Linked DNA regions of Danio rerio. The protein of the gene in region 1 interacts with the protein of each later gene in a biochemical or structural test. Links are inferred from orthologs where the notes say so. Each region holds a gene or a part of one and is shown on either strand. Other genes may lie near its edges.

Region 1 (4,734 bases):
AGACTAGTAATAAAATGAAACAAAAATGCACAATGGGGTTTTCAAGAGTACAAATGTCATAGGTGTTAAAAAGCTTGTATTCATATTAGAGGTAAACTGAAGGTAGTTATTAAGCATTTAACCTGTTGACCTTTACTTGTTCCGCTGACCTTTGACCTCTTTAACCTTATGTAACTTGCACAACGTTGCATATTAAAGCTTTTTATATATATTATGTCACTTACAGCACAGTTTAAAACTTTATATGATATTTTATACACGTTATGCAAAACAAAATGATAATAAAATCAGTATGGAAAGAAATTATTGTTCATGGGTCTCTGCTGTGTTTTACAGGGTCCTGTTGGGCCTCCTGGCAGAGATGGTACTCCCGGAGAGAATGGACTCCCTGGCCCTCCTGGTCCTCCTGGGACCTCTGGCCTTGGCGGCGGAGTAAGGAATTAATTCCGATATTTATATATATTATTTTTTATTTAATCTGTGAATCTGGATTTGAGTTATCTGCATCCTACAATTATATTTAGGATAACCAGACAGAAAGAATCTGTGCATAGTCTTCCACTGCTACACAGTAGATTTTTATGTTTGCCATAGAATATATGATATATATGAAGGTAAATACAGTAAAAATGTGTATTATTATTGCAATAAAATACTAAAGTAATAATTAACTTTTAGTAAAAATAAAATAATAAACAAAATATTGTTTAAAAAGATTTTTTATACATCGATTTCCTTCAGAAATTGCTAGTAATGCACAAAATGCAATGTGACATTTTTAGTAGAAATACTGAAGTTGAACGTCTTGTATTTTAATAATCTTATTCATTACAACAACCAAAATAATATGAGCTTACTGTGTAGTTCAGTACCTAACTATGTGAACAGCTCCCATCATTCCCACCACTAGGATTCACATTAGGTTGAACAGGAATAAAAGCAGACTGTGCACTCTTTAAAAGCAGTTTTTAAAGGTGTTTGTGGTTTATCAGATGCATGCTTTAATTTACATCCATGTGTATGACGAGTTCATTATTATCTGGCATTAAAATGAACTCAATCCTTGAGTAGTTCAGCAATAAATAATGAGCTGAAGATAATCACAGAAGCTCATACTTTGATTCTCTTGCTCTCCCGCAGTCTTTCCTATCCCAGATGGCTTATGGCAGTGAGAAATCCAGCGGTCCTCCTCAACCCGGACCAGCAGTAAGTCAGCTTCTCTATTTTTCCTCTTGTTCCTGTGGACAGAATAATCAGAATTTCTGATTATTCTGCACTCTTCTGTACATATCATAACTCACTGTTATTGTGCATAAACATCAATAACACTTTTAGAATCGGCCATTTAACAATGTTTAATGTTGTTAACAATAAATACTGGCTTTTAGGTGTACATTATTATTATGTCTACATTTAACATGTTGCTTTCTCTCTTGTAGGGCCCCATGGGTCCCCGTGGCCCCCCAGGACCTGCAGGTTCACCTGTAAGTTGGTTTTAATACTATAAAATAAATAGGTTAAGATTATAAACTAAATCTTTTACCTGAAATCTAACTGTATTTGTCCGTGTTTTTCTCAGGGCCCTCAGGGATTTACTGGCCCCCCAGGCGAGCCTGGTGAGCCTGGTTCTCCTGTAAGTACCTTGCATTTACTTTATTCATTCTTAGTGTTTCTATGTGGGAAAACTTTACATTTTACAAAGCATATATGCTGGTAAATATTATTATTAATCTGTTTGCAGGGTCCAATGGGTTCTCGTGGTCCTCCCGGCCCTCCTGGAAAGAACGGAGAAGATGTGAGTGTTTCTTTTCCTCCTTTAAATCATCTTCAGTAAGTCCTTCATGCCTATTTATATTGGTTTTTGCTCTTCCTTAGGGTGAAGCTGGCAAAGCAGGCCGTCCCGGTGAGCGTGGAGCAGCTGGGCCTCAGGTGAGATATTTTTCATTAATATTCATAGACATTTTGAATTAGTGTGTAGGACATGCTCATTGTGATGTAATATATATGTGGAGTTGTACACAATATAGATTGCATTGTCATGCTAATTTCACAGGGTGCTCGTGGATTCCCAGGAACCCCTGGACTCCCCGGCATCAAGGGACACAGAGTGAGTATGACAGCAAATAATATTTTTATTTTATTTTATTGCTTAAAAGATTCAATTATGTTTATTTATACATTGTCATTGTAAAGCCATTTTTGTAATACTCATATGTATTTAAATTATTTGTGTTTTCTGTTTTATGTGCAATACTCATGCATCTTTGCATAAATTAAGTATAAATAATCAGATTGTATAAAAATAAGTAATTAAATGTGTTATTTTATATTAGGTTGCATTATTTCTTTAGATATTCTTTAATATAATGCTCATTAAATGTGTTGTTTTTTTTATTTTGTGTACAATATTGCTTAATATTTTTTTAGCTATTTAAGATTTAGATTAGCTTAGATTTTAGCTTTGTTTAATGCGATTTCTCATCATATGTTTTTAGGCTATATACATTAATTTATATTAAGTAATTCTACATTAAGTAATTAAATAAATAAATATAAAATTGCATAAAATAAGTCATTAAATGAGTCTAAAGTAATAAAATAAGTCATAAAATGTATTATTTTATATTAGGTTTCATAATTTTTTAGATATTCATTAATATAATGCTCATTAAATGTGTTGTTTTTATTTCGTGTACAACAGTGCTCAGGATACATAAATAATTTATATTAAGTCATTCTACATTAAGTAATTAAATAAATAAGTATAAAATAATGCAATTGCATAAGATAAGTTATTATATGAGTCTAAAGTTATAAAATAAGTAACTAAATGTATTATTTTATATTAGTTTGCATTGGTTTTTTTTTAGATATTCATTAAAATAATGTTCATTAAATGTGTTGTTTTTTATTTTGTGTACAATATTTCTTAAAATGTGTGTTTTGTAAGCTAATTTAGAGTTAGATTAGCTTAGATTTTAGCTATTTGTTTAATACAATTTCCCATCATATGTGTTTAGGCTACATAAATTAATTTACATGAAGTTATTCTACATTATGTAATTAAATAAATAAGTATAAAATAATGCAATTGCATAAGATAAGTTATTAAATGAGTCTAAAGTTATAAAACTTTTATAAACGTATTATTTTATATTAGGTCGCATATTTATTTTTAGATATTTATTAATATGCTCACCAAATGTGTGTACAATAATGCTTAAAATGTGTTTTTTTACCTCCTTTCATACATTCCAAAATTTTTGTTATTTATTTAATGAAATTTCCCTTCATGTGTGTTTAGGCTATATACATTAATTTACAATAAGTAATTAAATATATATAAAATAATGAAATTGCATGAATAAAAAATGTATTAAATGGATTATTTTATGTTAGGTTGCATATTAATTTTAGATATTCATTAATATACTCACCAGATGTGTTTATTTTATTTAATTTGGTCTACAATGTTGCTTAAAATGTGTACATTCTAAATTTTAGCTATTTATTTAATGCAACAAGAAGTACAGCTTTCTGTGAATGTTTCAAAACTGACATTTTATTGCAAATTGCATTGTTTACACACTTTAGTTTAAGTTAACAATTCACTTCATTAACTATTTTATTAACTGCTTATCATTAAGATATAACCTGTTTATTAGTACTTCTTAAATATAATCCTATTCTACATCCTTAATTCTACCTAATATCAAAACTACTACCATAATAACTATTAATAAGCAGCAAATTAGTAGTCTATTAAGCTTAAGTCTAATAATAGTGAGAATTGTACCTTAAAATAATGACCGTAATTTTATTGCTTCATTCAGGGATTCCCTGGTCTAGATGGATCTAAGGGAGACGCTGGCATTGCTGGACCTAAGGTTAGATTTTTATTTTTCACATGCAGATATTATTATTCACATGTATGCCACATTGCATCCTCAATTAATCATATTTTCACTCTGTTTAGGGAGAAGCTGGTTCTCCTGGTGAGGCTGGAACTCCTGGAGCCATGGTGAGTGGATTCGGACAGCATTAAGAGATCATGTAGATATCTTAAAACCTAAAACTAGTCTCATATTCGCTCCTTTTTTTTCCTTCTTTATTCAGGGTGCTCGTGGTTTGCCTGGTGAGAGAGGTCGTCCTGGTCCTCCCGGTCCTTCTGTAAGTAACTACAATCTTACAAAAACATCTTGAGTTGATTCATTTAAACTTTATGTTGAATATTCAGTACAGTCTTATCATGTTTACACCTCATATGTTTATTTTGCTTATGCATTTATGAGCAATACATACTGATTGTTCTTGAGTAAACATTTATAAGTGTGATAATTTGAAGTCTGCATTAATGCAAACAAATTAAAGTCTGTTACTTGATTATTGAACAAAATGCATGGATATTTATAAATTGCTTTCACATGTATAGTCATTCTTATTTCAAGAATTGCTGGCTTGTGCGAATCTCAAAAGAATAGTTCACCCAAAACTGAAAATTCTGTCTTCATTTACCTGTCATACGCTTGTTGTTTTAGTTAAACACAAAAGAAGATATTTTGAAAAATTCTGCAAACCTGTAACCATTGATGTCCATAGAATTTGTATTTCCTTCTATGGATGTTATGAATGGTTACAGGTTTCTAACATTCTTTAAAATATCTTCTTTTGTGTTACAAATCGATAACCAGTGAGATCTATAGTAGGAAATACAAATTCTATGGAGGTCAATGG
Region 2 (4,734 bases), on another chromosome or scaffold:
AACACTCAACATTTGGCCCTGATTTCTGACAGGAAAAATATGCAAATAAAAAACATCAGCCTGCAGATATTCAGGGCTCAAATTAAAAGACTCTTTAAAAAAAATCAAAAAGTAAATCCACCACCAAAGAGTGCAACAAACAAAACTAAAAGTTTATAAAGCAAGCAGAAAGAACATTTATTTGGAAACTTTATTATTTTTTTTTTTTTGTACATCTCCACCATCCAAACTTACAATTCAAGCCCTGAATCTGAGTTTTTAAAAGAAATTGTAGATCCAAAACAAAAAGTGTATCTTGCAATATACATGGTTCATAATATTTAACTCTCTTGTTTGGCTGACATCAGCTAACGTAAAAAATTGGCCAGTATTTAATCACTTGTTGTGATATAGCTACAGTGTGAACTGTGCACTTTTTTAAACATTTTGAATGTTTAGTGGTATATGCAGCTTGTTAGAAATCGCAATTAGCACCTTTACTTTGATTTTAACTTAAGGGTTAGCACCTCCCCCCAATAATAACTAGGAAGCATCAATGGAAGACGTCCTTAGATGACAAGGTCTTTGTCGACATCCTCTGAAAGCAGAAAAGAGACTAAGTTAGCAAGGAATTTTTGCTGTGTATACAGTTGTGTAAACTACTTAAAATATCAGAATTGTATTTAAGCAAAACATAATACTTGTTTTATACTGTAAACAACTGATGACATTTCATTTGTAATTTAGATTTTTTTTCAGTACAAAGCAATAAGGTTTTCAGAAATACAGATTAAGTCAGAATTATTAGCCCCCCTGTCAACCCCTGTCAAAATTTTGGAAAAACTTTTCTAAACATAATAGCATAATAACTTATTTCTAATGACTGATTTATTTTATCTTTGCAATGATGACAGTAAATAATATTTCACTAGATACTTATCAAGACACTTCTATACAGCTCAAAGTGACATTTAAAGGCTTAACTAGGTTAATTAGGTTACCTGGGCAGGTTCATAAGTTATTGTATGACAGTGGTTTGTTCTGTAGACTTTAGAAAAAAAATCTAGCTTAAAGGGGCTAATAATTTTGACCTAAAAATGTGTTTAAATTAAAAAAAAATATTTTATTCTAGTCGAAATAAAACAAATAAGACTTTTACTAAAAGAAAATATTATCAGGTAAACTGCAAAAAAATTCATTGCTTTGTTAAACATCATTTTGAAAAATATTTTAAAAAGGGAAAAAAATTCAAAGTGGGACTAATAATAATGACTTTAAGTGTATATTTACATTAATACAACACAATACCGATATTTTCGTCTTATTAGTAAATTTGGTAGCAAAAAAATCGACCTATCCATCCATCTATTCATCCATCATAAAAATCTTCATATTTACAGTTATGAATTGCATTATGGGACTTTGTTCTCTGCTCTGTCAACTTTGGATGTTGAAAATTCAACTCTGTAGTTGTATTGAAATGTTAGTAGTTTGAAACAATATATTGTATAAGAAATATTGTACTTAGAAAAATGAAAGTCTGAAAAATAAAAGGAAAATTTCTGGCAGAGTATTTTTATGTTTTTGTACCATAATTTACAACACCAGTCCAGGCAGTATATCACTTCAAAAAATTAAAAATGTAAACAAATTCTTTTAGTTTTTATTATTATTATTATTATAATTATTATTATTATTATTATTATTATTATTATTATTATTATTATTATTATTATTATTATTATTATTATTATTATTATTATTATTATTCAAAATATCAAAATATTCAACATTAAATGACGTTGGACGAAAGATCAAGGTTCCATAATCCAATTCGAAAACAATTTGATAAATACCACTAATACCTATCTATCTATCTAAAGAGAAAGATATGCATCTATATGGGTCACAGTTTTGTGTATTTATTAATCATATGTTTATTTCAACATTTACTGATCAATTATTAAATAATTCAAAGTTGTTTATGGTACTATTATTTAATTCACTGTGGTTTAACAATGGCTAAAAATATTTTTACACCTTAACCAAGATAATGTATTGTTCAGATTTTTTCTGATGCCACAGTAAAACATCAGCTAACATTTACCTAATGGACCCCTATTGTAAAGTGTTACCCATAGATAAATCATATGATCAGAAACTCACGCTCTTTGATCCCGAAGCAGTTTGCCCACTCCTCCAGAGCGATGTACTTGTCTTGGTCAGCATCGCACTGCTCAAAGAAGCTGGTGGTGCAGTGCTCCATTGGGATAAGAGGAGCACGCAGAGGGGCCAGCTCAGTGTGGGACAGGAACCTGATGAAATGTATAGAATATATGTAAATGAAACTTATAGAATAATAGGATGAAACTAGCTAAAATAGTTGTAAAAATGAGACAGCATACCCATCAATAGGGTGCTGGTCAAGCTGGCCAAACTGCCAGTGAACGGGGAAGATGTACATGTTGTAGTTCTTTTCAAAGTCCAGGGCCAAAAGGTCCAGAGAGTGATCACCAGCCTGAAGCCTCTTCTCATTCTCGTAAATCTTCTTCACCTGCAACAACAGGATAAGGTTTGCTGGAATTTTAGAGCCATGTGGGTTTAATTCCCATACAGAAATCTGACATGTGGTGATATATGGACATCCCAAAGGGCACCTTTATGTCAAAATGACATCAAATTGACATCAAGTATGATGTTAAAAAACATGTCAAAAATGCAAATTGATTTAATGCCATTTTGATCACCAAAATAATGACACAAAAATTATTATATAATAATATAAGGAAAGTTTTATTCATCTGAAAGCTACGATTCCAAGTTAAACTTTACACTCGATTCTATATTCATAGTATGCATGTAAACCATCTTGATGCAATCAAATTGACATCTAACATTGACGTCGAAAACATATAAAAACTGTCCTGTAATTCAGTGTTTCTCAACCACACTTCTGCAGAAGCACCAACACTGCAAACCCAATTCATGTTTTTGATGTCTCCTTTGTCTGTCCCACCTATTACAGGTCTTTTAGTCTCTGCTTATGAGTTGATGATCTGAATCATGTGTGTTTGGTTAGGGAGACACGGAAAATATGCAGAGCTGGTGGTCCTCCAGGAACGTGGTTGAGAAACACTGCTGTAATCGATTTTGGCTTTTTGTTGCCAATGCTAGACGTCAATTTGATGTCATGTTGACATTAAGGTAGTAAATTAAAATCAAATTAAAAATTAATTATCATAATTTATAATTGACTATTTGCATTTATTAGATTTTTCTAAAATAAAGTACATAAATTCAGATTCCTTAAAATAGCATAAATAGTTTAATTGTGAAAACTATTATATTTTATTTCTCTGTTATTGCTGTTACGTTGAGTAACTACTGTAGTTTTATTAATAGTTTAGTTTTCTATTTTTTCTATTTTCTAAATCAGATGTCTTTAAATTGTTATGCTGAGTTAAATGGAAAAATCAGCTAGTCAAGCTGCATCATAAAGGTTTTTCAGACTGTAAAGAACACGAAGTTGAACTTACCCTGAGTTTCTGCTTCTCGGTGAGCAGGTTGTTGTCCTCATCACGCTCATACAAAGTCACCAGCACGTTCTTCAGCCAGTCTCTCATGCGCAGGGGGAACTCATTCAGCTCATTCTCCAAGCAGGGAGCGATGTCTAAACAAAAGTACACACAATAAAGCAATCCATTTCAAACAAATAATAAACACAAACAGCATGCCAGTGCTCCTCCTGTGCTGACATATACCGTAGTATTATAGCCTAAAAGGGGGCAAATTACAGCCCTCTGGCTAATATTAGTGTAATAGCTGTTAGGGCTTAATTCGTTTACGCCAGAAACACATTTAGCGAGTTTCTGACTGAGACACCCTGCTTAGCGATGAGACAACGACACAGCAGGAGCTCCATCTGAGCCCTTCACTCCCGACTCATCCCATCAACTGTACAGCGGTGGTGGATCAGGCAGATTTAAGGGGATTCAGTGTGCTTTGTGCAAGCTCGGGCTCGTCCTGTACTCAGTGTTTGGAGAGGGCAACAGGGACGCCTCAAAGCTACAAGCCATCAATCACTCCAAAGCACTCAGCATTGATGGCCGGGTTTGTGAGTGGTCTGAGTTTTACGCTCAAAGTCTGTGCGAATCAGGGTCAGAAATTATTGGCTTGAGAAAAAAAAATGTACATAAAATGTACCAAAGAAATTGCCAAAAATTCACCATTAGACAGAGTTGTCTAATGTCACATCAGAGTAATGTTATATTAAATTTCTTATGTTGTTAGGCTATGAGCATTCTAACCAATCACACGTGTTTCTGCTGATGTTTTGATTGCAGTAGCCAATTATCATTAATAACAAAGTGTTTGATTATTTACCAACGGGTTTTGTCCGTGTGGTCAAATTATGAAGTGCATTTTTCTAAACACTTAACGTTTTTAAATGTATTCTATATTTTAAAGTTATTACTCACTATAGCAATATCAACAGCAGTTATTGATACTATACTTATAAGGAAAATATCTATCTTTATAACTTTATAAACTCCTATCACTGGTTTCCAGCAACTGCCATACTTTTATGTTTACTGTCATCACAAATTGAGCCAGGATATTATTTAATATTACTCAGATTGTGTTTGCCTGAAAGAACACATAAATAAATCTTAAATAGGATAGTTTGATAAATAGGGAAACATTTTATCAGTTTAATTGTGTATAATACCAAATTTAATGCTGTATTTACATATT
Region 3 (3,521 bases), on another chromosome or scaffold:
TATAATAGAGAAAACTAGGCAAGACATATATTTAAATTTGTGATTTATTTTCATCCATTATGAAAATGATGTTTGTAAATGTATATATGGTTGTTGTCTTTTTTTTTCTTTTTTTTTTAAATAAAAGTACCTGAAATCCAGAAGAGGAACCCATAATTTAAAACGCAGTAGAAATGTGAATACTGAACCAAAAATTTTAAATATTTATTCTCTACTTGAACCCCAACAGCTGGACTCTGATTCTGACCGCGTTGGAGACAAATGTGACAGTAACCAGGATATCGATGAAGACGGTCACCAGAACAACCTGGACAACTGTCCATACATCCCCAATGCCAACCAGGCTGATCATGACAAGGACGGTAAAGGAGATGCCTGCGACTACGATGATGATAATGATGGCATTCCTGACGAAAAAGACAACTGCAGACTGGTCTTCAATCCAGATCAGCTAGATTCTGATGGTGCGTTTTACACCGGAATATCTGTAACACTTCACATTGCACTCATAAATGTACAGATTTATACTTAAGCGTTTACCTTCCTCCTTTTGCAGGCGATGGACGTGGCGATGCCTGTAAAGATGACTTTGACATGGACAATGTTCTGGATATCTATGATGTCTGTCCTGAGAACTTCGATATCAGTGAAACCGACTTCCGCAAGTTCCAGATGGTTCCTCTGGATCCCAAGGGCACTTCTCAGATCGATCCCAACTGGGTGGTTCGTCATCAAGGAAAAGAGCTGGTTCAGACAGTCAACTGCGACCCTGGCATTGCTGTTGGTAAGCTAAAAAAAAAGGGTAGAATTAAATTTAATGAATGCTACGACAGAAAAATATATGGAAAAACACCTGGAAATGCTAACTTTATATACATAAACGGTTAACAAAATCCTGCATGGTACCTTAGCTTGCAAAGACACATGCATTATATAATGTATTTATTAACTAGCACAAAAATGAAACAAAAATAATTATTATATTAAATATGACTGGATAAAACTTTATGCAGTCCATTAATTTATATTCCATTCTGAATTCAAAAAGCATTAAAAAATGAATCATACAACTAAAATATGTCAGCAACCACAAAATTCTTACCTGTTTCTTCAAACTCTTAAAGGTTTTGATGAGTTCAATTCAGTGGACTTCAGTGGAACATTCTTCATCAACACTGAGAGGGATGACGACTATGCTGGTTTTGTTTTCGGATACCAGTCCAGCTCTCGCTTCTATGTGGTCATGTGGAAGCAGATCACACAGACCTACTGGTCCAGCACACCTACCAAAGCACAGGGTTACTCAGGGCTGTCCATCAAAGTGGTTAATTCCACCACAGGACCTGGGGAGCATCTGAGAAACGCCCTTTGGCACACTGGAGACACACCAGGACAGGTAAAGTGTGCTTCAATGGATAGTTCACCCAAAACTGAAAATATACTCACTATTTACTCACCCTCAAGTGATTCCAAACCTTTACGAGTATCTGTCTTCTGTTAAACATGAAATAGATATTTTGAAAACCTGTAACTATTGACTTCCAGTAGTCAGAAAAACTGTAACAAAATTCTGTGGAAGTCAATAGTTACAGGTTTCCAGCTTTCTTTCAAATATTTTCTTTATTTCTTAAGTCAAACGGATAATATCAGGTTTGAGAGCCTTCATGTGAATGCTAAATTTGACTTGATTTGTTATAGGTGCGCACATTGTGGCATGACCCAAAGAATGTGGGATGGAAGGACTTTACTGCTTACAGATGGCACCTGACACACAGACCAAGAACTGGACACATAAGGTAATATTATAAACATTATTAAATCCAAAACCTAATCTAATATATTTAAAAAGCTGCAAAAAAATATTGTTATATATCGAAACTAAAATTTTTCTAGTGTATTTTTTATTACAAATACCATCTGAAATCATCATGCAGGCAAATAATATTAGTCTATAAATAAGTCTAAAATTAAATGATGATGCTTAAAACATGAAAAATAGCAAACATTTGTATTAGTATTAATGTGTCATACACATTCTTAAAAGGCTATTTTCAAAAGTTCACACTTAGCTGATGATTGATTATAAAGCGTGTTTGGCATAAGATCCTCAAGCCCAGGGCTCCCTCCCGTTGCAGGGCAAGAGTGGAATTTGAGCTCAGGTAGATCTTGAAACTTCCCTGCCGTAGTAGCTAATGAACAGATAGGGATTGCTCTTAAGATTTAGCTACTTACTAGGAGCACGTCTATAGTGGCGATTTAGATTAGTCAATTAGTCAGCCGGGGGGCCCATGGGAAACCTATGTGACCACGGGGAGAACATGTAAACTCCGCACAGAAACGTCGGCTAGCTTGGTAACGACTAGAACCAGTGATGTTCTTGTTGTGAGGCAACAATGTTAACCACTGGGCCACTATGCCACCCATCCAAAAAAGGAGGAGAAGTAGGGGTGGAAGAGGGCATTCTTCAAAACGAAGATGGTTGTGATATGGGACTTAGGGTATTTATAGCTACTTAGGAATCATCTAATTGGTGAATCATAAATATGCTAATGCATGACCAGCTGTGTTTAATCATAAGCACGTGATCCTCTCGAAATGAGTTTCCAAATTATCTTCACTTAATGTGCTGACAAAATATTTCTCTGCATATTTCAGAGTGGTCATGTATGAAGGCAAAAAGATCATGGCAGATTCTGGCAGAATCTACGACAAAACATACGCAGGCGGAAGACTAGGTCTCTTCGTCTTCTCACAAGAGATGGTGTATTTCTCAGACCTCAAATACGAATGCAGAGGTGAGCATCAACACATCGCATAGACTTCTAAACAAGCACTCATTTACATCAATTCCCGAAACTCAACAATAACTCTTCCTGTCTTTTCCTTTTTCAGATGCGTAATTGCACAGGCTGGAAGTTTATCAAAGATGCACCTTTCGATATAAATATGTATTCCAAGCAAAGTCCAGGGACAGATTCGATGCTACTTTTTTTCTGCTGTCGCTCGCACACCGGTGGAGTGAGAAAGCAGCTGGTCAACTTCAATGTAATGTCACTGGTTGGGATAGAAACCGGATCTAGACTCCTCCACCATTAGCAGGTAGAGCAGAAGAAAGTCTCCCTCGCTTGGCTTATTTGGGAAGACCGAGATCTCTCTGAAAAACCTCATTGGGCTCTGTGTGGGGAAAAGCTCCCAGCAGACAGCTATGCACTTCAAAACCTTTATTCTCTCTCTCTCTCATGCGCTTCTATGCTCTATTCATGAGATAAGCCAAAATGATGGCTACTTCAAAGAGCAGAAGCCTTTTAAAGAAAGGTTACTATTGTGATATTCAGTGTTTTATTAAAACTGTAAACTGAGAAGCAAAGCAATGAGAATGTTTCAGATATCGAAGTATGTAACAAGTAAAAGATCTGCCAGCCAAAGAAGGTGATTTTTAAAAGGACCAATCTGTCATTTTATTATTATTTTGGCTAAGCAGAAGGTTTGGCAGGAGATAACTCATGGTATAGTGGGCATAG

What was found.
Region 2: the proteins of col1a1b (region 1) and sparc form a complex in vitro, tested with the Homo sapiens proteins (2 studies listed by BioGRID). The link is inferred for Danio rerio from reciprocal best matches to the Homo sapiens genes COL1A1 and SPARC.
Region 3: the proteins of col1a1b (region 1) and thbs1b form a complex in vitro, tested with the Homo sapiens proteins (2 studies listed by BioGRID). The link is inferred for Danio rerio from reciprocal best matches to the Homo sapiens genes COL1A1 and THBS1.

The regions. Positions count from the first base shown.
Region 1 is NC_133187.1:3,514,718-3,519,451, reverse strand, and holds part of col1a1b (collagen, type I, alpha 1b), read left to right. Parts: intron 1-336; coding exon 337-432; intron 433-1,140; coding exon 1,141-1,206; intron 1,207-1,439; coding exon 1,440-1,484; intron 1,485-1,579; coding exon 1,580-1,633; intron 1,634-1,741; coding exon 1,742-1,795; intron 1,796-1,875; coding exon 1,876-1,929; intron 1,930-2,053; coding exon 2,054-2,107; intron 2,108-3,833; coding exon 3,834-3,887; intron 3,888-3,976; coding exon 3,977-4,021; intron 4,022-4,116; coding exon 4,117-4,170; intron 4,171-4,734. UniProt on the Homo sapiens protein: Type I collagen is a member of group I collagen (fibrillar forming collagen).
Region 2 is NC_133189.1:30,213,498-30,218,231, forward strand, and holds part of sparc (SPARC), read right to left. Parts: intron 3,650-4,734; coding exon 3,516-3,649; intron 2,534-3,515; coding exon 2,385-2,533; intron 2,295-2,384; coding exon 2,146-2,294; intron 578-2,145; coding exon 549-577; 3' UTR 1-548.
Region 3 is NC_133195.1:31,775,364-31,778,884, reverse strand, and holds part of thbs1b (thrombospondin-1), read left to right. Parts: intron 1-229; coding exon 230-464; intron 465-556; coding exon 557-784; intron 785-1,124; coding exon 1,125-1,396; intron 1,397-1,698; coding exon 1,699-1,796; intron 1,797-2,655; coding exon 2,656-2,795; intron 2,796-2,892; coding exon 2,893-2,900; 3' UTR 2,901-3,521. UniProt on the Homo sapiens protein: Adhesive glycoprotein that mediates cell-to-cell and cell-to-matrix interactions.